Linked DNA regions of Daphnia pulex. The protein of the gene in region 1 interacts with the protein of each later gene in a pairwise test. Links are inferred from orthologs where the notes say so. Each region holds a gene or a part of one and is shown on either strand. Other genes may lie near its edges. The genes, in order: potential E3 ubiquitin-protein ligase ariadne-2-like and ubiquitin-conjugating enzyme E2 L3.

The links.
Region 2: the proteins of potential E3 ubiquitin-protein ligase ariadne-2-like (region 1) and ubiquitin-conjugating enzyme E2 L3 interact in a two-hybrid assay, tested with the Drosophila melanogaster proteins (2 studies listed by BioGRID). The link is inferred for Daphnia pulex from reciprocal best matches to the Drosophila melanogaster genes ari-2 and Ubc10.

Annotation. Positions count from the first base shown.
Region 1 is NC_060023.1:7,784,090-7,800,019, reverse strand, and holds potential E3 ubiquitin-protein ligase ariadne-2-like, read right to left. Parts: upstream 8,314-15,930; 5' UTR 8,105-8,313; intron 8,012-8,104; 5' UTR 8,006-8,011; coding exon 7,844-8,005; intron 7,776-7,843; coding exon 7,442-7,775; intron 7,379-7,441; coding exon 7,153-7,378; intron 7,093-7,152; coding exon 6,978-7,092; intron 6,910-6,977; coding exon 6,682-6,909; intron 6,616-6,681; coding exon 6,400-6,615; intron 6,333-6,399; coding exon 6,177-6,332; 3' UTR 5,899-6,176; downstream 1-5,898. Other genes in the region: bromodomain-containing protein 1-like, read right to left, coding at 1,279-1,471, 1,560-1,702, 1,769-3,785, 3,848-4,164, 4,227-4,379, 4,448-4,743, 4,817-5,546; general transcription factor 3C polypeptide 3-like, read left to right, coding at 11,316-11,784, 11,861-11,943, 12,011-12,160, 12,266-12,357, 12,420-12,702, 12,771-13,036, 13,103-13,290, 13,349-13,404.
Region 2 is NC_060017.1:3,010,483-3,025,192, forward strand, and holds ubiquitin-conjugating enzyme E2 L3, read left to right. Parts: upstream 1-7,791; 5' UTR 7,792-7,966; coding exon 7,967-7,993; intron 7,994-8,092; coding exon 8,093-8,188; intron 8,189-8,259; coding exon 8,260-8,388; intron 8,389-8,510; coding exon 8,511-8,723; 3' UTR 8,724-8,940; downstream 8,941-14,710. Other genes in the region: TLC domain-containing protein 2-like, read right to left, coding at 431-513, 605-822; structure-specific endonuclease subunit slx1-like, read right to left, coding at 1,758-2,312, 2,409-2,460, 2,543-2,718; sex-lethal homolog, read right to left, coding at 4,111-4,364, 4,629-4,789, 4,851-4,964, 5,030-5,205, 5,283-5,471; replication protein A 70 kDa DNA-binding subunit-like, read right to left, coding at 9,118-9,225, 9,290-9,414, 9,483-9,552, 9,615-9,698, 9,757-10,020, 10,081-10,215, 10,283-10,395, 10,480-10,579 and 6 more; ankyrin repeat and MYND domain-containing protein 2-like, read left to right, coding at 12,228-12,410, 12,474-12,639, 12,708-12,847, 12,934-13,590.

The DNA.
Region 1 (15,930 bases):
TTGGTACGGCGTATAGTGACGTCACTGCTCCGGGGAAATCCCTAATAAGAAAATAAAAAAGCTGGGGAAAACCAAAGTCAACCATACTTCTACTACTCCCAGTTGGAACTAGTTTGAGGCGGAATGCTGGAAAAAACACTGACTCGTCAGCAAAAATGCAAATCAACGAGGGGCAAAGTGAAATTTTCTCTGCTGGCCGTGGAGGTCATTTGAATAAATACACACGCACAAAAAGTAGTGATGTCAATGTAATGTCATCCACTTCGTGTGCAAGCGATAAGCCCCGATTCTGGACGTCAACGTGACTAATGCTTGCCGATAACGCGTGCATATCAACCGACGACCCTGATTTCGTCTCCTCGTTTCCTTTTTAATTAACGAAATATTATCGAAATTTTGTCAAGGATCCGTCTCAAGTAGAATCGTGCGCACATGTGCATGAAGGCATCAAGTCTATCTTGGAAAAATAACCTATGTCGTGGTTGTTTTTTAATTTGTTTTCTGTGGAAAAGGGTGATTCACGTGTTGAGAACAAACACACAAAAAAAAAACAAGAGTTGACCGATTTGTGGTTTCTTTTTTATATTTTCCCGTCCGGGTTTCGTGACGTCAAACGAGAACTCGCTGACGTCATAGAACGCAGGTTTCTAGAAAATCTACGCACATGCGCAGGCAGGATGACGTCGGCCAATCACAAACCAGTTTCGGCGGAAATGGGCGGAGTCATTCGCATCGGAATGTTATCGTTCAACAGAAAAAAGCAGACCGAAAGCAAACAAAATAATATAAAGTCTAATCCTCATAAGTCATTTTAACCGTCGTCGCTTTGTTATAATATGCGCAGCTGAATTCGGTTGAAAGATAATAACGACTACGACGTCCTACTAAAAAACATCGACATTTTTTTGTTGGTGGTTTGATATCTGTTGCTATATGCTTGCATGTCGACTTGGTTGATCAAAACCGGTTCAAACTGCTTGGGAAAACCGAAAATACAGCAAGTCCGGGCAAGTTCTGAAACAATAACCCGTTCGAATCAAGAAAAATTACCATATTCCACTGGGACTTTCTAATAGTGTCAATTTTATATTTTTAAAATTTAAAATAGGGAGATTTGATTATTCGATTTCATTTCAATCTTTCGTTTTTTTTATTTAAAAAAATGAGTTTGCATCAATGAGAACACACGTGTTTGAAATACTCGCATGAAATGGAGCAAAGCGAGATGGGTTATCAAACAAAGAATTTTATGAAGGTTAAAAATAAGAAAATAAACGTTCAGTGACTCGAATCGGAATCTTCGGATAGGGCACTGCTTTGCCCAGCCACTCTACACTGGTGCAAAATAGCCTCTTCGAAAGCTTTCTTGACGGCCTTACGTTCCGTCTGCTTCTTGGATTCAATCAGTTTCGCTTTATCACGATCAGGATCCACTCCAAGTGGCTCCAACTTATCTCTGGGCAACCATTGCCTGTAATCAACAACAAATTCAGCCATTATCACAATTGCGTCTGGTGTAAAGAATTAAGCTGTGGCAAATAAAACTAACGAATACTAACCAAGTCCGTTTGGCATCGAAGAATAAAACCAGAAAGGCTGGTGGTTGAACTCCAGCTCCCATTAAGAGAACTTCTTCGGGTGGTATGGCGATGGGGACTCCATTATGTACATAACCACTCCTGGGCCAGGAAGGATCGACAATCTAATGGAAAATGTAGACCTCGAATTAGAACTAATTCAGTACCAAATCCTAGAAATACGTTTTTACCAGAGCTGGATACCAGGGATAACCTCGACACTTCGCCCAAACGAGATCAAGTGGCTGTAGTGGAATCAAATTACAAGGCAAAAGTGAAGTAGAACTATGCTGATGTCGAGGAGGAGATGCTGAACTATCGTCACTTGACTGGCGATCAGATTCATCGCCAGAATCCGAATCACTACTGCTACTGCTTCCACTGCTGCTCCCTTCACTCCCAGACGATTCACTCGATCCTCGATGTGAATCCTCTTCGTCGTCTAATCTGTTGGTGCGATAAACTTTGAAACTTTCACTCTCAATGTTGGGAAGGTGAATAGCTCCAGGCTGCTGAACCGAAGCAAATAGCTTGTCACTTTCTGGATGCTTTTGCTTCTTCCTTTTGTTTAGATCCGTAGCTGCAACTGCAGCTGCCACAAATAAATTGGTGGATGCACTGGTGTTGGTGCCACTGGGTCCTGGTTGAGAAGTACTATTTTCTGAAACTTTTCGCGGCCTTCCACCTGCCCGTCTAGGTGGCGAAGTGCTTCCGGATGGTTCAGGCTTCTTGAAAGCCGCTGCGGCAGCTGCTTTCTTGGTGAAAAGCACCGCTGTTCGTCTATTGACACCCGATGGAGACCCAGTCAGCTGTTGCGGATTCACGGAGCTGATTTTTACTGGAGTTACTGGAACTGGAGGAACGATCGTCTCCAATTCCGGCGTTACTGGCACTGCTGCTACTGGAATTGCCGCAACGGCAACAGGGGTCGATGCGATAGATGTAGATGCCGGAGTAGAATTACGTTTCAGGACTTTAGCAACTAATCGATTCTTATTTGTAATGGATGGCGTGCTCTTTTCATCCGAATCCGTTTTGGGCGTTCGGGTGATAAAGTGATCAATCTTTAGTTGACGGGCGGCCGCTACGGATCGAGGCGAAGCCTTGACTGGAGGACCAGCAATACTAGAATCGCTGCTGCTTTTACTGCTACTGCTGCTGCTGCTGCTGCTACTCCCGCTGCTACTACTTCCGCTCGAATCCGAGTCACTGCTGCCTTCATCACGTGTTTCATTTTCAGGTCGTGATTTCGATGGACTGCTACTGCTGCTCCGGGTAGCAGCCGCTCTCCCGCCAGCTTGCAAAGACAATTTCCTACGAACTTTGGCCAATTCGTTTCTCAAAATTCGGATTCGTTTAACTTTGAGGGGTCCAGTTGGCATTTGTTGAGCTTTACGCAGGAATTCTTCGAGTTTCGAAAGCTGCTGTTCAAGGGTATCAGATTCACGATACTTTTCCGAGACGTACTTATCGATTTCTTCGACTTTGCTTTCAGGTTGACTTATTTCCGACGGTGGCAGTGGAGTTAAGTTGCTGCTACTGTCGCAATTGTTGTTGCTGATGACTAATGTTTCCAAATCCTTTCGAAGTTGTTTAAATAGAACCTGAGCACCTTCTTTGAGCTTGATTGCTTGCTTATAATACATGGTGTGCTGTGCATTATAGACAGTGCAATTGTGGATCATCAGGTTGAAATCTTTTTCGAAAGCTTCCAGCGTTGGATATTGCCCAGCGTCCAACTTGTTCTGCATTGTCGAAAAGTCCATCGGTTGTTGTATAAAATCGAGATAGTCGGGGACTTGGCTGATGTCAACCGGATCGGCAAAAATGTCGTTGTTATCACGCTCCTTCAGAGTTTGTAACAAACGTCGCATTAGATACTGCAACGGATAGATTTGGAGTTCCAATTCCTTCTCTTTAATCCGCATCAATTCTCGCTTCGTTTTCTCTCTTTTGCGAATCAACTCGCATAACAGCCGAGCTCGTTCCAAATCCTGACGAAGTCGTTGAAAATAACGCAGTTGGCCTAAGAGATCGTCAGGCTGAACAATCTGATCACCGCCCAATCCTGATCCAGACCCAGAGCCCGTTGCCGCTGAAGATGCTGGCCTACGCGAAGGATGGCTTGTTTGAAGACGACGTAAAAGAGGCACACCATTCCTGGACTGCCGTTTCAGAGTCCAGTAGGCAATCAATCTTTGGATAAATCTAGATCAAACAATATCATTAGTACAGAAATTTATTTTGCGGTAGGACAATAATATAAATACCGAATTTTCCCTTGAATTTGGGGAACGGAAGAAGCGATTTCCTGGACGCGTTCAGGAGGTATAGTGGGGATGGAAATAATAGGAGCTGCAGAACGTTTCTCTGCCAGGATTTTACGAGCCTTTCGCATTTTCTCGCGGAAAGCAGCTTTCGACTGCGCTTTGCGAATAACCTCACCTATTCCGTGATCACCGACCAATGGCTTTGAATCAGAATCGGCTGGTGTGTGAGCATCGCAGTAGGCCGCTTTACGGATGCTGATATTGGGTCCACTGCTTGGTGAGTCTTTGGCCGTGTCAATTTTCATGTGTAACCCAGCCTGTTAGAAGAGTTCAAGTAAGTATTTTGATAAATATGCTTTAATTACAGTCGTAACAATACCTGCTGCGCACAAGTGACATGGAACGCCGTGTAACAGTTGGCCCTATGACACTGAATGCAAGATCCAGCTCCTCGTTGCTTACAAATGTAACACGTCAATTTCCAACGAGCGGCAGGAATGTTTTGTATGCTGTCGATCGGTTCAAGGAAAACCTGAATAATAATAATAATAAAATGCTTAGTAATCTCTGCAATGATATGAGAAGATTGAACGTTATTACTGTATTAGCAAAGCAGACTTCTGGTATCCACAGAGCGCAAACTACATGAGCCCATCGGTTATCATCCGTTTGTTTGAAAGCACCTCCTCGATTTGGACACAAAGCACAATCAACCGCTCGTGAAGGTGACTGTAGACATCGACGACAAAGCCATTGGCCCTCAGGAATATACGGGACACCATAGCATTCTTGGTGGACAGCGAGATTACACATGTCACAGAAGAGGATCACATTGCTGTTTTGGCATTCTCCATCCATGCATATGCAACATTCAGCGTCCTCATCGATAGGTGGTCCTAGTTAGATATTTTTTCTCAAATTAGACATCTTTATTTTGCAGACTTAATAAAGAAAAATAGAAATAAAAACCTTGATCTTTCCCAGAACTTTGCATTTGAAAGTAAGACTCTTTTTCCAGTCGATCCATTAGCAATTCAAATGATTCTGGGTTTACTTCAGAAAGGTTTTCAAATCTTCTTTGTTTGTTTATCAACTCTAGCCAAGTAAAATCATCTTCGTCCATATCAAATTCCACTTCATCTTCCATTTCATCAGGAGATTTCTCAATGAAGCGATAGTAAGACTTTGGTCTTTCTGGGGCATCTGGCTGGCTCCATGTTTCGATGATGGAAAATGATGCCTCCGGCAGCTTAGGAGGGGAGACTTTTTCTTCTTTGCGAACCACTGGTTCAACTGGCTTCGGGGTCTTTTTCTGCAGATGTTTTGGAGTGTGACTTTTACTTGTTGGAGTTTTGGCATAGTCTTGGCTTGGTGTTTCTTCATTTTTCATAGGCACTTCATTCTCATAGTCCTCTTTGCCCACAAAGCTTATGGAGTCAAAAATGTTTATCCTTTGAAGTTTGCTATCAATTTCAAGTTCAACAATCTTCTGGGCTTCTGCAAAAGTCAAAACCTGCTGTGGTGATTCTGATGAAGGTAAAGAACTACCAGGATTTTCATGATTGAAATTAAACAAGTGGAATTGAATGCCCGCGAAACTTTTGTAGATTTTGCCGCAGTCTTTCGCGGGGCATTCATACGGCGGTTTAGTTGCTCTGATGTGGTTAAGAAACTCACGAATGTCAAAGTCGAGACCCATTTTATTACAATACAATAACAAGTATGTTATATTGTTTCACACACTGTTTTTTCTCTATTTCAAGAAACCAATTATATTAAACAAAGTTTTACATTTAGTCCATTTTTGTTGTCGTTTTTCAGACCACGCACTAAATGACAACTGGCCAGACACCTGGCGCCAACGTTTTACAACTCGTTACAGAAGTGTTTTTGAAAAGAAACCCCTTAGGCACTTAAATTATGGAAGATAAAAAAAAAAATTTCAAAATTTATGGGGCTGAATAATTTTTTTTAATAAACAAGGGTAACGGAGTATCCAGCACCTTATTTAATAAAAAATTGCTCAGACAATATAAGAAAAAGGGAAATAGTAAACGTTTCAGTGATGCAATTTATTCATTTGTTACTATGGGAATACGAAACAAAACTAAAAAGAAAATTTCGCAGTAAAAAAAAACGAAAAACAAAAAACGTTGAGGACAACTGATAAACGTATAGGACGAAAAATATCAAATGACAATAGACAATCGCAATTTCGATTCCTATCTAAAGCGACAGGTAAAAGCCAAAAACCTATCGACCGTAGTTACAGGCGCGTTGGTAAAAATTTTCAAATCCTATTCAATCCATTTGCTAACCAGCAAATATTTCACGACTCTAGGAAATCTTGCAATAGCGTGGTGCGCCGTTTCTCGCAAACGTCCATTTGAATGCCCAGATCGCCTCTATCGGTCGTTTCGGCCCGTTCCACTTTCCACGATAGATTTTCTATTTCGGCTTCCAACTGAGCCTGTTGGTACTCGAACTAACATAAACAGACGTGGGAACGTTAATATTGGTAAAAAGGCATTAACGTTTTCCGAATCACTCACCAATTCCTTTCGAGGACCTGCATCCATGTAGTAAGCGTAAGGGTAAGTATACTGAAGAGTATACCTACAGCGTGCCAACAAGGCGGCAGCATCCAATAAACACTGCCAATCAATCCAAGTACCATCTGTGCCGGTCATGACTTTACACTGAATACGCTCACGGATCCGTTGCAATGTTTGCTCCTCCAATCGTAAACTCTTTGCATGATTCTCCCACTAAAAAATATTCGAAAATAGCAATAAAAGTACAAAGTTTTGATCGGCCAATTTCTAGTAACTTACTCTTTCAAAGTAATGGAGATATTTTTTCAAGGCTTCTTTGGCCCGAGCGTGAGAAGACTCATTGGCTACGTTGGGATTTTCCTCATAGCGTGAACAACGGTAATATTCTGATCCGTGAGTCTTCCAATCACCCAGACACATCCAGCAAAAGTCATGTTTACAGCCATAACATTGCATGTGGTTACATCCTCCATTCTTTTCTATACAAATTTGGCACTTGGGACACACCTAGTAACAAGCAGATGGACCGTTAAGAGCATTATTTTCGTTTAAATGAAAATTTGAGTTATCCTTACCTTAGTATGAGCAGAGATGTAGTTGGCAGTTTCGCTATCATCTGCACATTTGGTCAGCCAATGTCGAATCGTTTCACAATCGGTGGGAGCGTGATATTCGCTTCCACATCGAAAACTAAAATATAAGAAGCTCTTTCATATAACGAAATGGAGAAAGTTTCTAAAATAAAATTACCAGAATGTCGTCTTGCATGAGCTGCAAACTATCCGCTTGCCTTTGTTTTCTTTGGCCCGTATAATTATGTTACAATTCGGACCCGGACAGAATCTCAGTTCAGGATGGGATCTGACATAGTCGGAGAAGGCATGGCGAACATAACGTTCCTTTAGTTGAGGCGTGGCTAATAAAGGCAAGACAAAGTCTTCTGTTGCCATAACAGAACATCCCATGCATTCAGTTGCTATTCACACAGGAACAAAAAGGTTAGAATTGTTCAATATAACATTGATTAACAAATTTATACCTGTAGACACACCATGCATGACCTGAGTTTCAAGATAAGCATTCCAACATCCCTTGCAAAAGAGGTGGCTGCAACCAATTCCACAAAAGACATCTTTGGGTAGCATAATAATGCAAATGGGACAAACTAGAGTTTTGGATAAGGTTTTCACCACAGGAGTTTTATCTGGTTTAAGTTTAGATTGAACTAGAAGTTGAGAAGAATCTTCCAGATACATTTTAATGACTGAGTCTAAAGCCCAGTTATGAGCATGTAGAAGCAGTTTTGAAAGAGACGGTGTCAACCTCAGCCGACTGCTTAAAGTTTCAACCAGTTCATTCAATAACCTATCCACCTATAATTTAAAAAAACAAACAGTTGATTTCTCCAATTTCATTGCATGTATAAATTTGTTACACTGACCTGATCAACCGTTAGACATTCAAATTCAAAATGTTCAGGATCACACTTCTTTTGGTTCATCGATTCACTGTCGGCATCATCACAAGGATTGTAGTAATCATCATAACCACATTCTTCTGTTTCAGAATATTCCACATCAGAATCATTATCATTATTTGACATGATGAACTAGAAAAAAGAAAAAAACAAAATACTGAGTCAATAGAGAGTTAATGGATACCACACATGAAAATGCAGTCCTGGCAATTGCTTAGTGCTTACCGATTCAAGCCACCGACGTCGACATTAAGAGAATCACTATTTCGAAGATGGAATGGTTGTAAATGGACGTCAATCAAACCCAAGGACGGCCTGGTTCGCCAATATTTTTAAAGCTTTTCCATGAATTTGTGTTTAATTACAATTAGCTACCCCACGAACACAGCTTCTGGCCTTCTTCAGTTCTCCTTCTGTAAATCCGTATTTTACCTACAGCGCTTCGAACGGGAGAAAGTTACACTAAAGGGTAAATACGAAAAAAACAATAATTTGTTAATTAAAATGAACAAAAATGCTTCTGTAAATTATTTATCTAAAAATCTCAATTTTTGGGGGTTTTCATCTGACGGTGTTTAGAAAGAAATTGTGAAGAAATCCGAAATCTATTTTATGTTTCTTTTATCCATCAAGAGATGGAGATGGATTCTACTTGATTGCGGTTTGAAAAACTTATCGAAAGGGTTCTCGAATAAGTTTTGAATGAAAAAAACATCTTACATAATTTTTGTGATGAAAGTCATGATGTTTTAGGTAAGTCGTTTTATTGTCTCACTATTTTAATCGTTATTAAATTTCAATAATCATAATAAATCTTGTAAATTTAGGAAAAAATCAGAGGCTCCAGATTGTTGATATCTTGATAATGGTTGATAACTATGCCAAAGGTTGCAGAAACTTTTAAAATTTAGGAAAACAAAAATTAATACAAAATTTTTTTTCAAGAAACATAATTTTTCGATACGCAAAGTGAATTACTTTGTAGGGATCATAGCATAGGCATTGATTATTTAAGTCTGTAGGGCTAAACACAGCTAGGTTATGATCCATAGCAACAATTTTCTGAAACACACCCGCAACGTGAACATATTTTTTTACCAAATAGCAAAAATTATGTATATTTCCCTGGATATGGGGCTCTTCGGGATCTGTTTTATTTAGCCGATTTATCTGGCAACGCAGCATGGCGCCAGTCTTTTTTGAGGGAAGAACGGGGAGAAGAGGGAGAATGGGACGAATGGGGGAGAAGAGGAAACGTGGGTCCCCTTTTTTTTCGTACGCCCTCCTCCCTCCCACTCGTCCCATTCTCCCTCTTCTCCCCGTTCTTCCCTCAAAAAAGACTGGCGCCATGCTGCGTTGCCAGATAAATCGGCTAAATAAAACAGATCCCGAAGAGCCCCATATCGAGGGTATCAATTTAAGGGGGTCTTTAAATGGAAGAATATATTTTTTTTATGTGATCATGCCCTGAAAAGTTGCCATAAACAGAATAGCTGATGATCTTTTGATTAGGACCTCTTCTATCAGCAGAGGAGTAACTACAAGTTGATTTAAATGGACCTAGTAGGCGTATTAGAAAGTGACGTTCTTGAGGAATGGGCGTGTAAAAAACAAAAATACGCAAAAATAACCATCACAGTCACAAACGAAATAACATTATAATTGACAGTTTACGTAAAACAAAACCATTTTTAAACTGGCTGTGCAAAATGCAAGGAAAAATGCTCATGTTAGCATGTTATGCCTTCGCATAAAGTTAATGTTATACATTCCGGAGCGGAACGTTTTCGGCTATATGCCAGAACATGAGTTTCACGTTGACTGATTACTAAAAGATTCTTTTACACTAGCGACAGCACGGCGGTTTTAAAGTGCAAAGTACAAAGGAATTGTGGCATGGTCCCATAAAGGGCGAAATCTTTATAAAGCACGTAAATTTTACACGTTGCGCTCCGTTACGCCGCGCGTTCTCGAAGTTGCTTTAACACATTACTTATAGTCACTTATAGTACAGGAGAGGAAAGAACTGATTGGACAATATAAGACTCCCCTCCCGACAATAGGTGAAGTGCCTCTTCACCCTTTCACTCTCAACTTAATGCCTCCCCTTGTCCATAGATAAAATTCGGATGAAATTCGATAAAATTCTAGGGAGACGAGATACTGTTACCTATAATTATATTACATAGTAATTTATATTAGCTGTATATTTTCCTGGATATCCACAAGAATGTGAGTATAAAGGGTTTTGAATTGCAAATCGGGTCTCCGGTATTGAAGATTGGAAAGCCCATCAGTTTCGAAACGAAGTGATCCTTCCTGCTGTATATCTTCTTCCTATCTGGATTGGGTTCGGCTTTTTTGTGGGAAAGCGTCTTGTATCGTGCACGATGGACGAGCGATGGCTGGTCGTCGAAAATTCTGGTCACTGTCAAGTTATTAAATAAGATACGTTCATACAACTGATCGTCCTCACCACCCAAGACCCAGAACAAATTTGAATAGACGTTGATTTGTTGAAAATCATGGATCGAAATTGCGCTGACTCTACCGAAAAAGTATCTGGGAACTGGCCTGTAATTATGTTAAATTGAAGAACAGTATACCGGTACATGCTATTAATTATACAAATATAATGCGGAGTATTTAATATATCTGTAATTATACCAATAGTCGATTGAAAAAGCCATTTGCCGTGGTTTCCCATCTTCTGAACATGAGTTAAGAACATAAAGATGTCTGTCATCCTCCGGTAGATAATCAATCGTTAATCAACGTAATGAAATATGAAACATGGATACTTATCCTGTAATAATAGAGCCTCAGTAAAGCCAATGTTTAACAGCATTCCTCGATTGAACGATGAACCATCTGTTCGTTATAGAGGAAATGCAAAATCAGCAACAAGCAACAGAATCGTGAATAGTGTAAAATTTTTGTGGATAACCTAACTAGATTGCTCTACGACTATGATGGTGTAGCTTTTAGTTGCTGTCCTGGAGAAACGGTTGCAAGTGGCGAAGAAATATAGGCAAATGTTCTGATCTGTCACGGAATGGAATACAACAACAGCAACTTTCTATTTTGATTGGCATTCGCAAAAAATGCTTTCGATTGGTCGAAATGAATGCACTCCGCAACGTCCTCATGCTGCCCCTGCTGGGACCCCTGAGCCTATTGGGCAGCATGCGGAGTGGATTCAATCCGACCATGCTTGATACAAATTACAAATGATACACAATCGTCAGTCGTCACGTGATCGTCGTCTGTTTCGTTTCGCGCGTTTCGTGTGAACACATGCAACGTTAGCTTCGACCGGCCCTGATGCCCCTGAAGTAGCGTTTTAAACTAAACCGTTCTTTTCAATCTAACAATTGAAGAAAAATTGTTCTTGCTGTTGACTTTCACTCGAATCGAATTTTTATATTATTTCACGATGGAGAGCAGAGATGAAGAAGTGCAACCACAGCTCCTTTCAGATGATCAAGTTATTGTGGCTTCTTGTGATAGTTCAAGAGTTACTATCATCAATGAAGGAACACCTTTACATTCGGCAGAAAATGGCTTGTGGGAAATCTTCTACATAAACATTTCAGAGGAAGACATGGTATCTGATCATCCAGCAAATACTGATGATACTGTTATTCCAAAGGCAGATGAGGAACAAATAGCTATTACTGATGGTTATCTGGAAGGAATAGTGTCGTTTGAATACTTCATGACAAGAGTAGAAAACTCAGATGGTTCCGAGTCTGGCATGGAAGACTCATCTGATACAGATTATGAAGAAGAAGTGCTGGAAAGAAACTCAAATGACCCAGAATATTTTCCTGAAGAATCTTCCAACCCAGTGAAAAAGAGAAAATGCACACCAGTTACAAAAAGACTTCCACCACATTTACAAGGTAACCAAATATTCTTTTTTTGTTAAATATGTGTTTACAATAATGGCCTGCAAATTTGAATTTTTCCAATACGAAGGTCTCATGGGTGAAGCAAACTTGAGATATGCAAGGGGTGAGAATGAAGATGCCATCAACCTCTGCAAGGAAATAATTAGACAGGTAAATTCATTATAAAATTGTGGGTGTTTTGCTAATATAATTGTTTTTCATTCACTTATATTTTTAGGCCCCAAGTTATGCTGAACCTTTTCAATTTCTAAGCATGTGCTATAAGGACCAGAGAGATGATGAAATGTCATACCAGTTATCTTTAATAGCTGCATATTTATCTCCTCAATCTCCCCAACAGGCCAATGAATGGTTACAATTAGCCCAGGTAAAATATTTTAGATCTATAAAGCAGCTTTTTTTTATGAAAATCAAATTCGTCGGAATGCAGATATCTTCTACTTCAATACTAAAATTGTTCGCTCTATTTCAGGTGTGTTTGAAGCGAAGAGATGAGATACAGGCAAAGAAATGCCTTGCCAAAGCTGTTCAAGCAGACCCTACAAATCTTCAAATTCATGAACGGTAACGTACAAAGAATATAATTTAAATACTATTTCTGATGTGTTTTATTCTGTGTGTTTCAGTCGATGCCAGGTGTTGGAATCAATTGGTGCTGAAAAAGAGCAGTTGAAAGCTCGCCTGACTATGTTGCGAGGTGTCCAACCGGAAAATGAACAAAAGAAAAATGAATGGGTCGAGCTTGCTGAAAAAATTGCCAGGATTTACATTGAGAGTGGCAACTTGCATTCAGCGCGTAGGGCGCTCAGTAATGCTCTTGTCACCTGCGCAGATAATTTCAAAATGAATCATTTTAACCTTTTATTGGAACTCCAGATCTTGACGAAACATTATCTCGATGTCATAAAAGTTCGGTGAACTCTTTCAACCGTTACCTATTCACTGAAATAATGAATTCAATTTAATTGCACTTACAGACTCTTAATAGACATTGCGGGTTGGTGTTTAACAATAACATAATCGACGAAATTGATCTCGAAGAAACGGAATCTATGGAACTGACGGAAGAACTGCCAATAGGCATTCTCAGCAAGCTCTGCATTGCCTTGGTTTACTTTAACAAACAAGAATTTGCATTTCCTTTGATCGAAACTTTTATGGAGCATGACGTCGAAAGTTTTGGGGGTATCCACCTCGACGTTGCCGAGGCCCTAGTAGAAAAAGAATTCCATCAACAAGCTTTGTAAGAGAAATCCAAAAGTAATTATTTTGCAACCTTTAAATTGTCATATTTCTTTTTTCATAACAGGACATTGCTAGAGATCCTAACAAAAAGTAAATCCTTTTCTCAAGCTGAAGTTTGGCTGAAATATGCAAACTGTCTCAATGCTCTCAATCGGTCAGACGAAGCAATCGTGGCATTCCGACATGTTATTCATCTAGTGCCATCAAGGGAGGATGCTAAAATATCTCTAGCAGAATTGTTCACCAAATTAGGTAACTACCTTAAGACAACTTATATCGTTTTCCAGTCTAATCGTTTCCGTGTTAACAGGTCGACGAAGAAGCTTTGGAAGCTGTAACGCAAGACTCGGAAGCTACTCGGATTGAAGCCAGCGTTTTGCATCACAAGTGCCTCTTGCTTTTGAAAGAAGGAAAAATGAATCAGTTCGTTGCGGCTTACAAATTGCTGATGATGCGTGACGCCTCGAATATTCAATCCAAGGACGAAGTGAACAAAGCGTGCGGCGCCAAAAAAGTAGGGTGGGAGTCGGCGGATGAAGATTCGGACGTGGAAGAATTGGACTTTGGAGCATCGTCGATCGAGTTAGAAGAAGAATATCGACTCCTCCGGCTAACGTGTGAATACCTGTTCAAGGAGAAACGTCTGGTGGAGTTGGAGAGAATCTGTTTTACGGCTCTTACGTCACCGCTTTTCAGAAGCAAGAGAGAAATTTGCAGAGAAATTCAGTTCATCACCCTTCAAGTGTGTTTAGCTAAAGGCGACTCGTATTATGCTTATAACCTAGCCCGTGGTTTGCTCTTACGTAACAACCTGGATAACAAAAGAGCTTTGAACCTCATGATTCAGGTGAAAATACTTACCTTATCTTTACCATCGTTCGTTATAATTGGTTCGACGTTTTCGTTTCAACAGGTTATCATGCGAGGGGACGATGTGCGCTACAATCGTTTTCTTGTGCGGCTACTTCGGAAACACCCCAAACATGTCTGTCTTAAGTGTTTTGAACGGTCACACGTGTTTAGCCAGCGGTACATACAAGCGCGCCTTAGGTAAGATGGCAAAGCAAAATTTTGATTTATTAAATTTAATCGTTCTTAATTTTGCATAGATGCTTATATGTCGGCGTGCAAAATTGATCCCGACAATCCGTTGTTTTTGCTGCTTTCTGCAATTGTCCTGGTTCAGTTGACATGTCAAAAGTTTTCTAGCGGGAAGCATTCGCTTGTTACTCAAGCTTGTTCCTTCTTCGATGCTTATCTGAAATCAAGAGGGGACTGTCAAGAGGTTTACTACAACATCGGCCGGGGAATGCATCAGCTTGGCCTTTTAGCTCATGCTGTGGACTTTTAGTAAGCACAGTTTACTTGTATTACATATTTATTTAACATATAACGTTGTTTACTTGTATTATATAACATTTTGCCGTTTTTTAAACTAAAAAATGTGTTATTTTTTAGTAAAAAAGCTCTGCAACACAAGCCAAGCGTCACACGCGGAGAGAATGCTCATGTATTCGACTTATCCAGAGAAATCGCCTTTAATTTATCGCTCATCTATCGGTCGGCTGATTTTTCCAATTCTGGTTCCGATGTTGCTCGTATGTATCTGGACAAGTATATCACTATTTGAAATATGATGCATCATTTTTCGTTAAAATTCCAAGGAACTGTAATGTATTTGTAAATAAATCGTCATCAAACAAGGACAACTTACATAAATCATCGATCGCTTCGAACACTTTTAGAAAGAGGGAGGCTATTCCCGATAACATCTAGCAGTTCTTTTCTAGAATCCTCCTCTGTTTTAAAACAACTTGCTTACAGTGACATTTCCCAAATGACTTTGACCAATGACGGGACTAGAGCCAACGGAGGGGTTTCCGGCCGGCTGGTCGAATGCAACGTGTGCCAGCGGCCCTTATTGGCCACATGCGCCTGCACGGCGGTTTCCTCAAGAAAGAGTCCGAATGCAGCGGATCCAGAGGGTCGGGAAACGGATCCGGCGGCGGGAGTGGCGGAGGGGGAGGAAGCGGCGAAGGTGGAAGTAGCAAAAAGCCGGGCAACAGTAAAAGAGATCCCAACACGCCGCCGCTTTTGACGGCTTCCGTCTCGGTGCGGGCCCTCATCGAAGAGAACATCATCCAGCGGCGGAATAATATGGCGGCCAACAATTCTTCCACGACTTTGATGGGTTCTTCTTCTTCAGGTTCTTCAGGTACTTTTTCTTCGGTGTCTGAAACCACGTCGGCGTCGTCGTTGTCCATCCACCAGTTCTGTTGTTGGCAGTGTCCAACAACAAGAACAACATTCTCATGCCTAACCGATCCCAGTTCAACCGGTCAGTCAACCGGAAGCGGTTGTTATGTTGATGAGAAGAGATTGAGAAGAGAATCAAAGAGACTCGATGGAAGCTCAGCAGCCGCTCATTCCCAAATTAGAGCCGGAAGATTATTTCGAAGGTACAAGTTAATTTTGACGAAGTAATGGATGAAAAATTCACTAAATAGTTTTCATCTTTAAAAAACAGGATCACTATTGGCTCTCAGCCCAGTCAGCCTTCACAGAGCCTTGGAAGATGATATGGATGCATTACCTGATGGCGATCCGGCAAGTAGCGAAGGTGGAGTTGCTTCCGTATTGCATAACTTGCACCACCACCACAGCAACAACCATCACGCGTTGAAAACTTTTTCTTGACGTCATCGTCGTCCTCCTCTGCACTGAGTGACGTCCCCGTTACTGGACGATTCCGCATTTTCCACCAGACTGTAGGAATCCATTGTCAATCTAATCCATTGACGTCCTAACTCATCGATCCGTTTCATCTTGGGTTTCGGCAGCCGCAGCTTCCGCGCTGTTATCCGACATCAGCAGCCTGGACGGCTGGACCTA
Region 2 (14,710 bases), on another chromosome or scaffold:
AATGTTGACAACTGATCATAATTTTATGCCAATGCGCAAGCGCGCATGTGCATTATACAACACGAGGTTCCAGTCGTCTCCTGGGGGGTTGGGGGTTGTGTGAAACAACAAGAAATGTCAATAGGCACGTGGTTTTTCCACCATCAAAAATTATGAGTTGGCTAACGTCGTTTTATCATAGCCAATCACAAGATCACAAGGCCACAGAAATAATCAGCCCAATTGATAAAAATGAGATACTGAAAATTTATGAGACTGTGACCTCATTATTTTCATTTCTTGTTGAATGTAGGATAATAATTCATTGTAACAACTTATAACCACACTAAAATTAAGTTACACAACACAACTTATACAATAAAGCAGACGTTCCATAGTCTCATCCGCCCGTAGATATAAACATGGATGACGCGCAAGTTACGTAACTCACCAACAGAAACGGATACCAATAAATGTGATGAAGTGGAATGTGTTCCTATTAAATCCTCTGCCATTTTTGGATGCCAATAAAAACTGCCAAAAAAATATGCATCATTCATACATCCTTCTTTAAAGCTTATGACTAGATGTTGCATAACAAATTCGTAGGCGTTTTATAACGTACCAAAGCATCGCCCAGACGCCAGTCAATATAGAATGAACCAATGAATTGCAAGTATTCCTCCATTTCCACGTTGTCTGTGCTCCTGATTTCAGAACGGAAGCTGGCGTGAGTGGTCTTAGCAGAACGTGTGTTAGGGCGAACCCTACAAAACTCACAGCTGAAGCAACAGGGCCATAAATTTCACTTTTAACGTCAATTTCACTTGGGATGTCTGCCATTTCATCAAAACGTTACGTAACTTCACAAATCACAATGGGTTTCAAATGTATGAGTGAACAACGCTGAAACATCGGAGAAAATCAGCGTCCGTCTGAACTCTTAACTGTTCATGACATTTAACTCCACCTTGTTGGCGTTATCTTGTGAGCACACGGTGTGGCGCACGTCGGTTGCCGCGCCTAGATATTTTCACAGAGCAGACAGCAAAGGTTTGACTAGTTTTGTGATTGGGAGGGAAAATCGAGCCACTCCCACTAGCGCTATCTAGGTCAGCTTGTAATTAGATTCGTAAATGGCTTAAACACACACACATATCTGGTCTCTTTTAACGCTGCCTCACTGACATATTCAATGGGCGATTTTTTGGCTAAAAGTTTTCAATGTTTTGGAATATCTTTAATACTTTAACGCCATCTAGTAATGATTTTACTTACTATCTCAAGCGTAGCTCACGGGGATGTTTCAGGGTTATGTATGTAGGTGACCGTGAAGAAAGATCGAACACAAGGTTGGGATGCGTTGAAAATGTCCCAGCGCATCAAGTGGGTCAAGGGCCGTCCTTTCGAGATACGGTTGTGTTCCAAATAGTACTATATACTGATATTGTCAATGACCGAGGCCAGGGCCAAATTTCAAGGACAATACTCGTTTTGAAGGCCAATAAATGCACTATCAAAGGCGCGCTCGGCCAACCGGCAACGTTGTTTTAAGGGAGGAAATTACGTGAATTCGCTCGTTCGTTCAAAAATTACACCAATGTTTACTCATGGAAATTGATTGATCTAATACAATTTTTATTTAAACAAAAGCGACAATCAATTACATTAGGATACAAGACATTTGTACTGCTTAAGAATTTTCATATGAGCAAATTAATACGGACGTAGCCAAAATGTTTAAACTGAAGAGAACAAGAATATAGATTTGACAAAATTTATGTTAAAATAGTTTCATCAAGAGCAAGATTTTGGTTTTGATAACAACCCTTGAATTTGCGAATTAAATCGGCCCATAATAATTCACTATGGCAACTTGGACATGATCCCTCCAATGGCAGCATGTGATCTGGTTCAGATTTCAAAAAATGTGAAGCAAGACACAAAATATGTGTTTTTAAGGTGCAGTCATTATTAATACAATTCAAAACGTCGTCATTATCCATTATCTGATGGCAAATATCGCACTTTGCTGAGGATGAGGATGATTTAGTCGAAACCTTTTCATTCGAAGGTGATGGAACTTTTTTGGAAATCACACGTCCTTCTTCTATGGGCATATGAGGTGGTGGCAGCAAACTGGTTTCGAACTCGACTCGATATTTTGGCACGAGCCATTGGATAGTTAAGGCGAGTCTGTTCCACGGTCCTATTCGCAACATATGAGACAGAATACGAATTTTGTGTTGAAAACTGTTTTCTTTGGCTCTTTTCCTTTCAATCAGCTTTCTCAATCTGCGAGACTTTTCTGGGTGTTGCCAGGCCCACTCAAACTAAATTGAAAAAGAATATTGAGTTTTATACTTGAAACAACTGTATTTGTATTATTTGATGTGCAGCAATCGAAGATGTTTTGAAAGCTTACTTACTCTGAGTCCTGAAATGTCATTTGGGAAACCATGAACTATCAAGCACATTTCCCTGAAAAAGAAAATGGTCAGTAATTTAATCTGATAAACATATTATGATTATTTTACAATTTAACAACAAAAACAACAAATACCATGGCCCTTTATTAGATGTTTTGTATGCACCTCCAGAGCGTACTCCTTTGTTGTGTTGTTGTATTCTACGGTTCGGGTTTACAGTGTATCCAATGTAAGTACGTCCCAAATACTTTGGATTCTCACAGAAAAGTAGATAAACACCGTAAAAATTTTCTATTACAGTACTGCTCATGTCTATTCACTGAAAGTGATGAACAAGAGTCTACTCAAGTCTCAGACGTCAATTTCAAACTTTCTTCTCGTCGTCTGCTAGAAAATACCTTCCGATTCCGACTAGTCAGTCACATGACTCATGAATCATGATCAGGTAATTTACAAGATGATGGTTATTTGGTTAAGCTCATTACCAGTGGCAAAGAACGTATTTTTAATGAGTTAAAATTAGTAAATGACTGTAGAACTCTTTAGTATACGGATCAACTATAAAATCATTTATGTCCGCCATCGCCAGCATGAAGCAGAATTGAAATTTATAAGCGACGAATTCTTATCCCATACACGCATTTCTTTGAGTATTTACTAGCAGTAATTTACCTACTACCTGTTAAAATAAAGAGCAGCAGACCAAATTTGATAAATAACATCATGTGGATAAACGTTGAGTTGTTCCCTTTCCTCCACCCCTATCGTTACTTCAGTATTATCGGTATTACACGAACATGTGTAATAGAACAAGCGGTGTCATAGGGTTTTTAATCTGAACCAAAAACGTTGAGAACAAAGGAGCATTAAACAATAAGTAGAGAATGCTGGAAGCCTTTCGAGTATCTACCCAATTCCTAAACAACGTTGAATACCCTTAATGAAAAATAAACTACAAATTTCTTATAACCACGGCGTGCAGCATTGAAAAGGATGATTCTCCCATTTCTCGTGATCGTTGTAACTGGTGAAGTGTAATCAACGCTTTGGCAAATGATTGCAGTCACAAACGATTGGGATATGGAAGGGGGGGAGAAGGATACAGTGTAAGGGCGGGCCATGGAGACAGACGTAGACAAAAGGGAGTAAGAGAGCAAGAGAGAAAAAAAAACAAAATCACCAACCAGATAACATGAAACTAAACTGGACCTTGTGGGAGTCAAAATATGATAAACGATCTTCTGGAGCCACTAGAAAGCAATGAAAACGGCCAAGATTGACCGTGAGAAGAAGAATGAAGTGAATCGAGAGGGTAATACACGCGTTCAGGAAATCTTGCAGGCAAGAAGGGTTCAGATTATAAATGATGCAGAAAAAGAAAAGAAATCATGATGGGGAACACAGAAGTGTACGAAAAACTCGAGTCAGACATAAACCCTAACGAGCGAAAATCCAACCATTTTAGCCAAATGACGACCGAAGAAAAAATATGAGAAAAAGAGGTGCATGATGGAGAAGTGGAGGAAGGAAGGGGAGTAATTAGGTCAGTTAAGATTGATAACAAGCAGAATTGGGAAAAACATCATGTTCCTCCAACTGATGGCGTTGCAACAATGTTTTTTCATTCGTCTGCAGTCGGTAGTTCAATTTAGTTTCAGTTCTTTTTTAAATCTTCCGTCATCTTATCGTGCCCTCTCATTGCTTAGTTCCAATTGTAAACGTTGTAGCCGCCACCCATTCCGATGGGATTGTAACGGCTGCTATTAGACCCTTTATCCGGTCGAACTTGTCCCATGCCTGACGAGTGGACGAAACCAGGAGCATTCGGCGGCCGCGATGCTAACGGCAGACCGGCGTTGTAGTGTCCACCTCCTCCGCTTCGGCCACCATGACCACCCCCATGTCCACCATGGTTAACCATCCCACCTTGGGGTTGTCCTCCAACATTACCAACTGCTAAGACAGATATTTGGAATTATTAAGACAAGTTCCTGAAGAAAACTTGTAGTAGCAAACTAATATTCCGTTTCTAGCAGATTATTTAAACGGAAGGGTGGTTTGGTTTCTTGGCCAACGAGACTTGGATGCATTACAATAGACACGCGTTTTAAGTTACAACATGTATCAGTTGCAGGATTTTGCTTCGTCTCTCATGGCAGCTCATGTGATCCGTTCAAGGCAATTAAAATATATATTTAAAGAAAATGTCGATGCACTTACGTCGCGCTTGCTGTCTTCCAGCTTCCCATCCAGCAAAATAAGCTGCCTTCTGTTTGCCGTGCTCTTCAGCAATTTTTACACTAATGGGGTTAGTACGTCCATGTGGGATTGTACCATTCAGATGCTCAATGGCAGCCATGGCTTCTTCTCTCTTATCAAACCTGAAAACAATTTGATTTTAACATCATACATGATTAAAAAAAGGTGAAAATAAATTTATACCTGACAAATGCCACACCCCTGGGCATACCAGTTATTTTGTCTTTGAGTAAATTCATTTGCACTATATTTCCATGGGCAGAAAATATATTTGTCAATTCATCTTCTGTAACATCTCTGCTTTGGGGAAAAAGGAGATGTAGTTTTGACATATAAAGTTGTGTACCCAAAATTCTCATTACCTAGGGAGATTAGTAACATATAGATTGGTTTCCTTTCGGTCTTCGCCAGGTGGTCGGGCATACGATACTTTGATACGTTTATTTTGAATTTGAAGCCCATTCAAAGTTTGAATAGCCCGGATAGCATCATCAGCTTTTTGATAGTTGACGAAACCGAATCCGTAGCTGTATCCAGTCTATAATTGGAATAACATTCATTTTGTTCAAAAGATATCAGATGATAAGTCCAATTTATGAAATTGATTATAGTTACCCGAAAATCTCTCATAATTTTGCAGTTCGTCACCGTTCCAATAGTGACAAACATCTTAAAGAGTTCGCTCTCCGTCAGATTCTGAGGCAGGTAGTTGATGATCAAATTGGTCCGCGACGAATCATCACAGGAACTACCAGGGTTGGGGCTGGACGATGGAGTGTGATCAGATCCAGTAGCTGATGCCATTTTCTTGCAGTATGGTTAGCCTTTCTTTGTGTTTGTTAAGATTTTCTCTCTCACGCCCAAAAGCCTGGCCGTCGCAGGCGGGAGATGGCCAACAACAAAAAAAAGGCAAACAAAAAATAAAATAAAAGCGCCTGCCACAAGCCTGGGCTTGGAGAGTTCTCTTAGCCCCCCGTCACGGATGCACCTGTTCTCCAACAAGAGCCAAACACAAATTTGTGAAACAATCGTCAATGCCTAAGACAATTTTTTGATTTGATGTGTTACAGCTTAAAGGACTAACAGTGAATGAATGCTTGTAGGAGACACATGGCTTTAGCACCACACACAAATAAGTCTCAGGTGTAGCGATCTCAACTACAAGATAAAATAACAATCTACAGAATAATATGATGTCGTAAATTGAAGCTGTCAGTTAAAGAATATACTTAAATAGTACAAAAACACTGACATGTGATGTGTACTAGAATGAAATGAAGTTTGAATGGAAAAATTCTCGTCAAACAAAACTTCAACTCACTTTTAAGACTACTTGAATGGAATGTTAATATGGAATTTTCAGCTAATCAACAGCTATTAATGAAACAAATATTAGTGAAACACTATCTGGAGGACGAGCAAGGTCGTTGATGGCCAACGCACATGTGAAGGAGTCGACAGCATAAGCCTTTCTTGTTTTGCTTCACACCTCAATCTTTAGATGTAATTGAATTCGACACAAGAGTCTAGTTATGACAATGACTCGATCACGCTGCGACACATAATCCAGTAATGATAAAATACCTCGTAAATTACCGTTGATAGGATAGAAAGTATCGTGAAAAGACGACACACCGGGTTTTTCTTTTCTTAGTTTTTCTCGCTATAATATAAATCGATTTTTTTACGTTGTCGATCATTGCGGCTGCAATGCCAGATTATAATTTGTTCTCTTAAAAATATATTTTATTCAATTGCAGCCACGTCACTTGTGAAATAGAGATTTATAAAAATATTACTTACTACGTTATTTTTTATTTTATTTCCTAGAAAAACAATTTTATGCAATTTAATTCGAAATGTTGTCGTTTGGATTGCCGGCTGTTCTTTGACAGACCTGAACAGACGATGATGAGTCCAAAGCCCAAAGGCACAAAATGTAAATACTACAAAAATCCCGAATTAATTTTATTGAAAATACCGAAGGCAACACTTTTTAAACGTGCTTAGTCTTATCTAAATAAGAATAAATTAATTTAAATTTTTTGCACGATGAATTTTGATTTTTAGAATGCATTTTAAATTCGGCCGAGGCCCCGAGCGATTGCCAGATTGGCAACTCTCAGAATCTTCGAAATCTGGGAGAATTTCACATAATCTCTAGAATTTAACAAAATTTACCTTTTTCTCACCGTTAGCAGGCGCAAACCGCATTTTTTTATTGGCACCCCTAGGCCCTAGCCAAATTTGGCGAACCTTTGATTCAGGATCTTGTAGCATCTCGTAGAATCTGAAAAATTCTAAATCTTCGCACATTCCAGTGATGCCCCTAGTAGCGAAATTTGGGTGAAACTTTGATTCGGAATCTCTTAAGAATCCCGTAAAATTTCACAGAATCTAGCACCGCTAGCACAATAAGAAAGATACCGTATCTTCGTTCACCCAGATTTTTAGTTTCCAAAAAGTCAAACCTCATCACATTTGTGACACGTACACATACGGACGTGACATTTGTTTTTCTTCCCGCAATAACTACGACTCTTGCCACTTTATTTCACTTTAGCCACATCTGTTAATAGTTCAGCCACAAAATTATAGATTTCAAGTTAAGAAACACCGCCGTTTCCGAAACGACAATGATTCCCTTATATGCGTATGATTGCGGGTTGAACTGTATATCATGAATTCGCTTATCGTTATTTTCGAAGATCGACTAAATGACTAGTCACCACCATAGGATAACCTACGTACACAATAAGTAATCAAATAAAAAAAAGCTCTTGGACTAGATCAGGCAGACAAACAGCAGCTTTAATTTGTGACCTAAATATAAAAACAAATGTACTTCGCGTATTGCAAAATTTATGTTGCAAATAGTGCTTCCGAATTTTTGCCAAAAGATTAATTTTTCGCATTTTTATCTCTTTATTTGATGTTGTTATTACGGCTCTTTATTTAAATGACAGAAAGACAAGATTTTTTTTTACCTTACTCTGAAGTCTGAACTGTGCACAGCAAAATATTACGCGCATGCGCTTTTGTTTGGTTATTCCAATTTTGAAAAAATCGTATTTCAGGAAACATTTTTTCACTTAAGATGGCTCTGTATGCGGTACTTTAACTTACGTGCTTTGTGTATGGCCTTGAAATCTACGAGGCCAACACAAGTTTGCAAGCAGGCAAGCAGCCGTTCACAGCAGCTCTTTTGTGGAAGTAACTTCAGATATTAGTAGTAAATAATTTCAATAAATCGCTAAGTAGAGTAATATTTCAGTAATTGATTGATTGATTAAATTGAAATGGCGGCAACTAGAAGACTTCACAAGGTGAGTTGAAAGTTATCTATATTGCATCACAAATTCATAATCTGTAGTGATAATAATTCATCTGTATAAACATTTAATGTATTCTCTGTGTGGTCAAAGGAATTGGAAGACATCAAGAAGTCTGGGTTGAAATCTTTTCGCGACATTCAAGTTGATGAACAAAACATTTTGACTTGGCATGGACTTATTGTTCCTGTGAGTCTGAATTTTTTAGATGAATATTGATTGAATTACCTTGGTTACAAGCCATCATATATTTTTCATAGGAAAATGCTCCCTACAATAAAGGAGCTTTTCGGATTGAAATAAATTTCCCTGCTGAGTATCCATTCAAACCACCAAAAATTGCGTTCAAGACAAAAATCTATCATCCAAATATTGATGAAAAGGGACAGGTAAAAATTTCAATGTTAACCTTGTAAATATCTTATTTGTCTGGCAATTTCTGTTAGGTCTTAAAAACATTTGCCTTTTGGAATTTTTGCCATACTTATTATTGTGTGTTTATTTCTTTCAGGTCTGTTTGCCCATAATAAGTGCTGAAAACTGGAAGCCTGCCACCAAAACTGATCAAGTGATACAAGCGCTGGTTGCCTTGGTTAATGATCCAGAGCCTGAACATCCACTTAGGGCTGATCTTGCTGAAGAGTATTCCAAAGACAAAAAGAAATTCATGAAGAATGCAGAAGAGTTTACAAAAAAAAACAGTGAGAAGAGACCAAGTGATTAAATGTTTTCTGTTTTCATCATAAACACTTGAGAAGAGGCAGAGTTAAAATTTTGAACTGGTCCCCCCTCTTTCCCTCTTCACTTCATTGTAGAGCAGTGAGAGCTGCACTGTGATCTTCATTTATTTTCATTTCTATCTTTGCCTCTCTTGATGGTTGAAATATTTCATTGCACATGAGCTGCGAAAAACAATACATTTGCAGTTGTCTGAAAAATTATTTTTTGTAATATCCATGTTTATTTTGCAAATCATTTATTATCATGTTACACACACGGTTTTTCCGGGATCTCGATTTGATTCACAAGAACAGGAATTCATAAAGAATTGTTCCTGTATAATCCGAAAATGAAGGTTTTTTATAAGTTTAATAGATAAGGAGCAAGGGAAAATCCATTCATTCTGATGCAGCCATTTCTTTCATTTCTCGAATCAATCGCTCGTTGTGCTCTTTATAGTTGATTTCCTTCACTTCATAGACATTTGTTTTGAGGCGGCTTTCATCCTAAAGAAAAGGTAAAAGCGTCAACAGATAACAAGATCGAAATTCATAATGCTCATAGACTTACATTGTACGTCTCCATTTTCACTCTCAGGCGGAAGACATACCACTTAAAAGTAGCTTCTTCGAAAATTTTCTGAAATTCGTTATTATCCGAATCCTTCAATCTACCGACCTCGTCTGCGGATTTCCCTAAAATTTATAATCAAATAAATAAATATTATATGCTAAACGTAACATTAGTTCGAAAACAAAATTACCAAGAAGAGTTTCAGCGGTTTCTTGGAAGCAGGTTACCCATTGCTGGTCCGTGGCATCCGCGATATTGACCTATAACAAATTTCGAGTGCTGTTTTGAGAGAAATAGATTTCATAAAATATCTTTGTCATACCGAAAGCATCATGCGCCATTTGAATTCCTGGAATTCGCGCTGGCATTTCTCACATCGATAGAGGCCATTGTTTTGATCGATGACCTGCGGGAAACGCAAATATTGTCAAAAATGAGTTGTTTTATTATATATTTATGTTTACCTTTTTGTTGCATTCATCACTGGGACAAGCCATGTACAACGCTCTTTCTTTGTTGATCATAGCAACCATAGCCTTAACACTGTAGAAATCAGGTTTATCTTTTCCCAGGTTTTCGAATTTTGCTTCAGCGAAAGTCTTATACGACCCACCACTACCACCAGTGCCAGCGCCACGACTCGCCGAAATGCTAGAAGCGGCCGATGATGAGCCACCGTTATCGTACCACCCTCTTAGTTTGTGAGCTTCATTCATGTCAGGATTGATCTATTAAAAATATGCGCTGTAGAATAGTAGAGAAATAGAAAGTCTTACATTTGATTTTACCTGCACGACAGTAGACGAGACTGTTCCTAGAGAACGACCTCCAAAATCAGAAAGTTTCACTCCTTTTAATGCTACAACAGGCTGGGAGCTAGCGTCAAATTCCTCGCCCATTTTTCCCCATAAAGTCAAATTAACCTGATGTTTGAAGACAAGAATGATTAATTAACTGGGCTCGACAATTAAACGAAGAATCCAGTCATACCTCTGTGTTGGTACTGTCCACCATCTGAACTTCTCGCATCCTCAATTCTTTATTTGTCGTTTTGGAAACGATAACGCGGACGTCATTTGCTGACTTAACCACACCAATGACATCTGAAAGCACGGTCAATCGGTCATATCGTAGGCACCATTCAAATAGAAGAATTGTAATGTTAATGCACCTAAAAGACAACTTACCAATAACACTGTCCTTGTCCAGGCTAGGTAGCTGATCAATGGGAACAAAGTTGAAGGAGATTGATGGGATATCTGATGTATCATCGTGGCAAGGAATTACCTAAAAAATAAGTAAAAGAAAAAAAAATTGAGGCTGGTACGATTGACGATTGAAAAACATTCATACTGTAGTATTTTGGTTGAACGACATTTCATAATCGTTCCTCATACTGCTGTACTGTTTGTTTGCTGCCTTCAGTTGTGCTTGTGAAATGTAAAAGATCTTGCCGATCTACAACGAAAAATAACAATGTAAATAAATAACTTCAAACACTGTTTTTGAATTAAATGTACCTCAATCATGTGGTAAAACTTGTCACACTCGGCATTGAATGCAGTGGCACGGATTTCACCAGTCTCATCCACCATGTCCATCGAGAAAAGCTTTCCTTCACCTCGAGAATTGCTCCACGTACGGATATCGGACTTGTTTATAATTCTCACTTTTACAGTCCACCTACAAACAAGCAAAGTTAATGATTCAATTTTTCTTGTACTGAAATTTCTCAACAAACATACTTGTTTTGGTAGGGTGTAAGGCTTACAATCGGATGGGTAATAATGTCAGACTTCTCTGTTGGCTGTCCATATCCACCAGTTTTGTTAGGTGGTGCAGACTTCGATCCCATATTGTAATTGTTCACATTTCCTAAAGGTGCAGGTTTTGCTGCTGCCTCTTCAGTAACCTCTCCAACATCATTAAGAGTCTGAGGGTTTCCTATTTTTTCTCCAACCTAAACAAAAAATGTTCAAAATGAAGAGATATCCTTATTTGTATTTCGAAACTAAGTAAAGTGAACATACTTCACTTCCAGGCACAATTGGCTCAACATCCAAAAGAATGATAATTTTCTTTTGGTCCTTGCCTGCAGTTGCCTTAGTAGCAACTTTGTTAACAACAAACTTTTTTACTCTAATGATGGTAAAGTTCTCAAGCTGACCATCCACAATCAGATGATTTAGTTGTGTTGCCAACATTCCATATGCATAGGAATACTTTCCATCAGAGATGAGAATTCTGTAACGGTCATTATTGTCTCCCTGAAGATTTTTGTAACCCTATTGTAAGAGAAGAAAATGTAAAAATGCTGCAAATGAAGAAAAAATCTTGCTCGTTGCTTACCAAAACTTGTAGAATTGGAGTTTCATTGTGCAGGCCATTCCCAATGATGGACTATGTCGAAATAAAGATATTTATAGTTTTATTCAAAAATTCGAAATTATGATTGATATTACCGGAATTGCGCCGCTGGTTAGTGCTGGGTGATTTCTTCTGTTCATTTTACGGAACCTTTTTTAACGGGGATTACTTCGTTCAGTCAACGTGCTTGAATTTTTTTAAGCAGTTTTTACGGACAAGACGACGAAGTGCGATGGCGGGAAAACAACAGTGGTACAAACGAAACCAAGGCTGAACGTGCAGCGTTGAATGTTTAAGAAACTTTTTAACTCAATGAAGACCACTAAAAATATAAAGAAGAAAAATAATGAAAAAGTTTTTTTTCTGAAATAAAGGTTCATACGAAGCAAAAATAAGTTTTCGTTTTATTCGCATTTTTGGCGTTGTTGGATTTTTTGTTTTTCGAAATGTCCGGTTGTTATAGCAACAGTTGCAGACGACAACGGAAACTATATCGTTATATGAAAATTTGTGACTGAATTATTTGATTTCCTTCAAAAACGAGTTAATTGCCAAAGAATCTCGAAAAATGATTTCGGAAAACTTTATTAAAGCTATTGACAAGATTAACAACAATGATACTAGTGGTTTGCAAGAACTTATAAAATCCCGGGACGTTGAAATTGACGATGAGGATGAGCATGGAATGACATTACTGCAACATGCCGCTTTTAAAGGGAAAAAAGATATTTGCCAGTTGCTCCTTGACCTGGTAAGTCTAACTATATTATCAATGTTGTTAATTTGATTGAAAAGTTGACTTTTTTTCTCGAAGGGAGCTGATGCCAATGGAGGTCATCATGAACACAAGTATACTTCCCTTCATTTTGCAGCTCTGTCTGGAAATTTGGATATTTGTCAACAATTACTTCAGTGTGGTTGTAAACCTGATGTGGTTAACTCAGTAGGCAGAACTGCAGCTCAAATGGCTGCATTTGTAGGTAGGCTAGTCAATCATAATGTTTGTACAAATCATCCAAAACTAAAATGAATTATTTTGGCAAACCAGGGAATCACACAGTTGTTTCCATCATCAACAATTTCATTCCACGCTCAGAAATAGAGCAGTACACTGTAGCTCCTAGCGATCAAACTGAGCCAAAATTGCCACCAGCTGCTGCACCAGCTTTGCACAAATTTGTGATGCAGGTTGTGCACTTGAATAGACACATCACTTCATTTCTTATTCTGCCACGGAAAAGCACTTGAACTTTTTGTTTTGTTTGATTTATCAGGTCAATCTGCATCCAGTTCACCTTTTGTTGACTATTCAAAAACTTCCTTTGCTTTACGATAACCTCACAAAAGTGAAAAACGTCTTGGAGATACTTAGCGAAAATCAGATGAAGCGCAGCCAAGAAGTCAACGAGATCCTCGCACTTAAATACCACTATTTGCGTTTCCTAGTCGAAAGAATGGCCAAAGAGCAGCAGCAGCACCCCGACAAAACCGTTTTGGAGTTATTAAATCAATATGTTAAAGCATTTTTGAAGCAACGTCAATCCGATGGTTTTCCCGAGTTTATGGACAACTTCATCCGCGAGTCGATCCGCACTTTCCCTTTCAAGGAGACGACCATCTTCCGCCAGTTGCTGGTCAATCTGTCCAAGACAAAAGAGGAGACTCCACTAGCTCTCAATCTTCTCACTTCCTGCATCAACGGTCAGCGTGGATTTCAAGATGACGACGCCTGTGCCACTTGCGGCCAAGAGAAGGTAGCCAGCAAGTGTTCCATATGCAAATCTGTGCAATATTGCAACCGCGATTGTCAAAAGTTGCACTGGTCTATCCACAAAAAGGAGTGCGACAAGTTGGCCAAGCAATTTAAAAATTTGGAAATTAAATCTCAAGACTCCGAGGCGAAGGCTGCCGATCCGGAAACCAGCAAATAGAAATTTTGATTATGTGGGGGTTTTTGCATGATCGAATTCGATGTATGTTCACCCCGTACGTTTCCTTTTTAATCTACAATTGTCTACAGCGGACCCCTGTTTGCTTCCATATTTAGCTAACCTATTCAGTTGTCCAGTCTTTTACACTGTACGTGCGGTCCCATTGTTTTTATATCGTGAAAAATCTGCTTTGAATGGCCCCCATGTTATCGTCGCATTCATCCCACACAAATACAAACCTTGTCATGCCTCATTTCTAGTGTATTTCTTTTCTTAGACTAAAAAACCAGCCACTAGATGGACATTGTTCTCTTGTGGCCCTCCTCATCCACATATTGCTACACTAAATCTTCAAATGTCTACCCTTCACTAAGAAATATTTCCCTCTCACCTCAAAACAAGGAAATACAAATTACGCGAAACCAATCGCTGGTTTTTAATCGACGAATGATAATTGAAAACTTGTTGTAAGAATTTATCGTATAGTTTAAAGAAGACAATAAGTGAGCCAGGCTGCAATGAATGTAATCTCTTTTTGATAAAACCAACCAAAAGATAAAACTAGCAGCAGGTTTTTATTTCCCCGAATTAAGTGTCGTTGGTTTTGCGCGAATCGGTTTCAAAAAATGCCCGAAAAAAATGGAACTCGAGAGCCAGTTGGTTGGACGTGTACAGTTGATGACGGAAGCGGCGGCACCGATCCAGAAGAAAACACACACACACATGTGTCACTTTTCTTTCATTCCGATAAGCTTCAATGCCTCTGTCCAGGGGTTATTTGCCCTCTTTTAAACATGTGTGGCGACGACGATCTAAATAGATATGTGACTGCTATATACCACCGAATGCTTTTACATGTATATAGCGCTGGTGATACAATATTTAAGCCTTCATTTTTGTTGAAAAAACCAACGAGATAGGGCAAACTATATAGCGATGAGGGAATATACAACCGTCAAGTCTGTAGACGAAATTGACACGGAAGTGAACTCAAATGAAGTTTTGAAGCCGAGAGATCGACCATCCTGATAATATAACGTAGACACCAGTTATACTGCCCTTCATTATAAAGATCATCATTATAAGGTGCACAGTGAATTGCTGCTGGTGCGCATATACT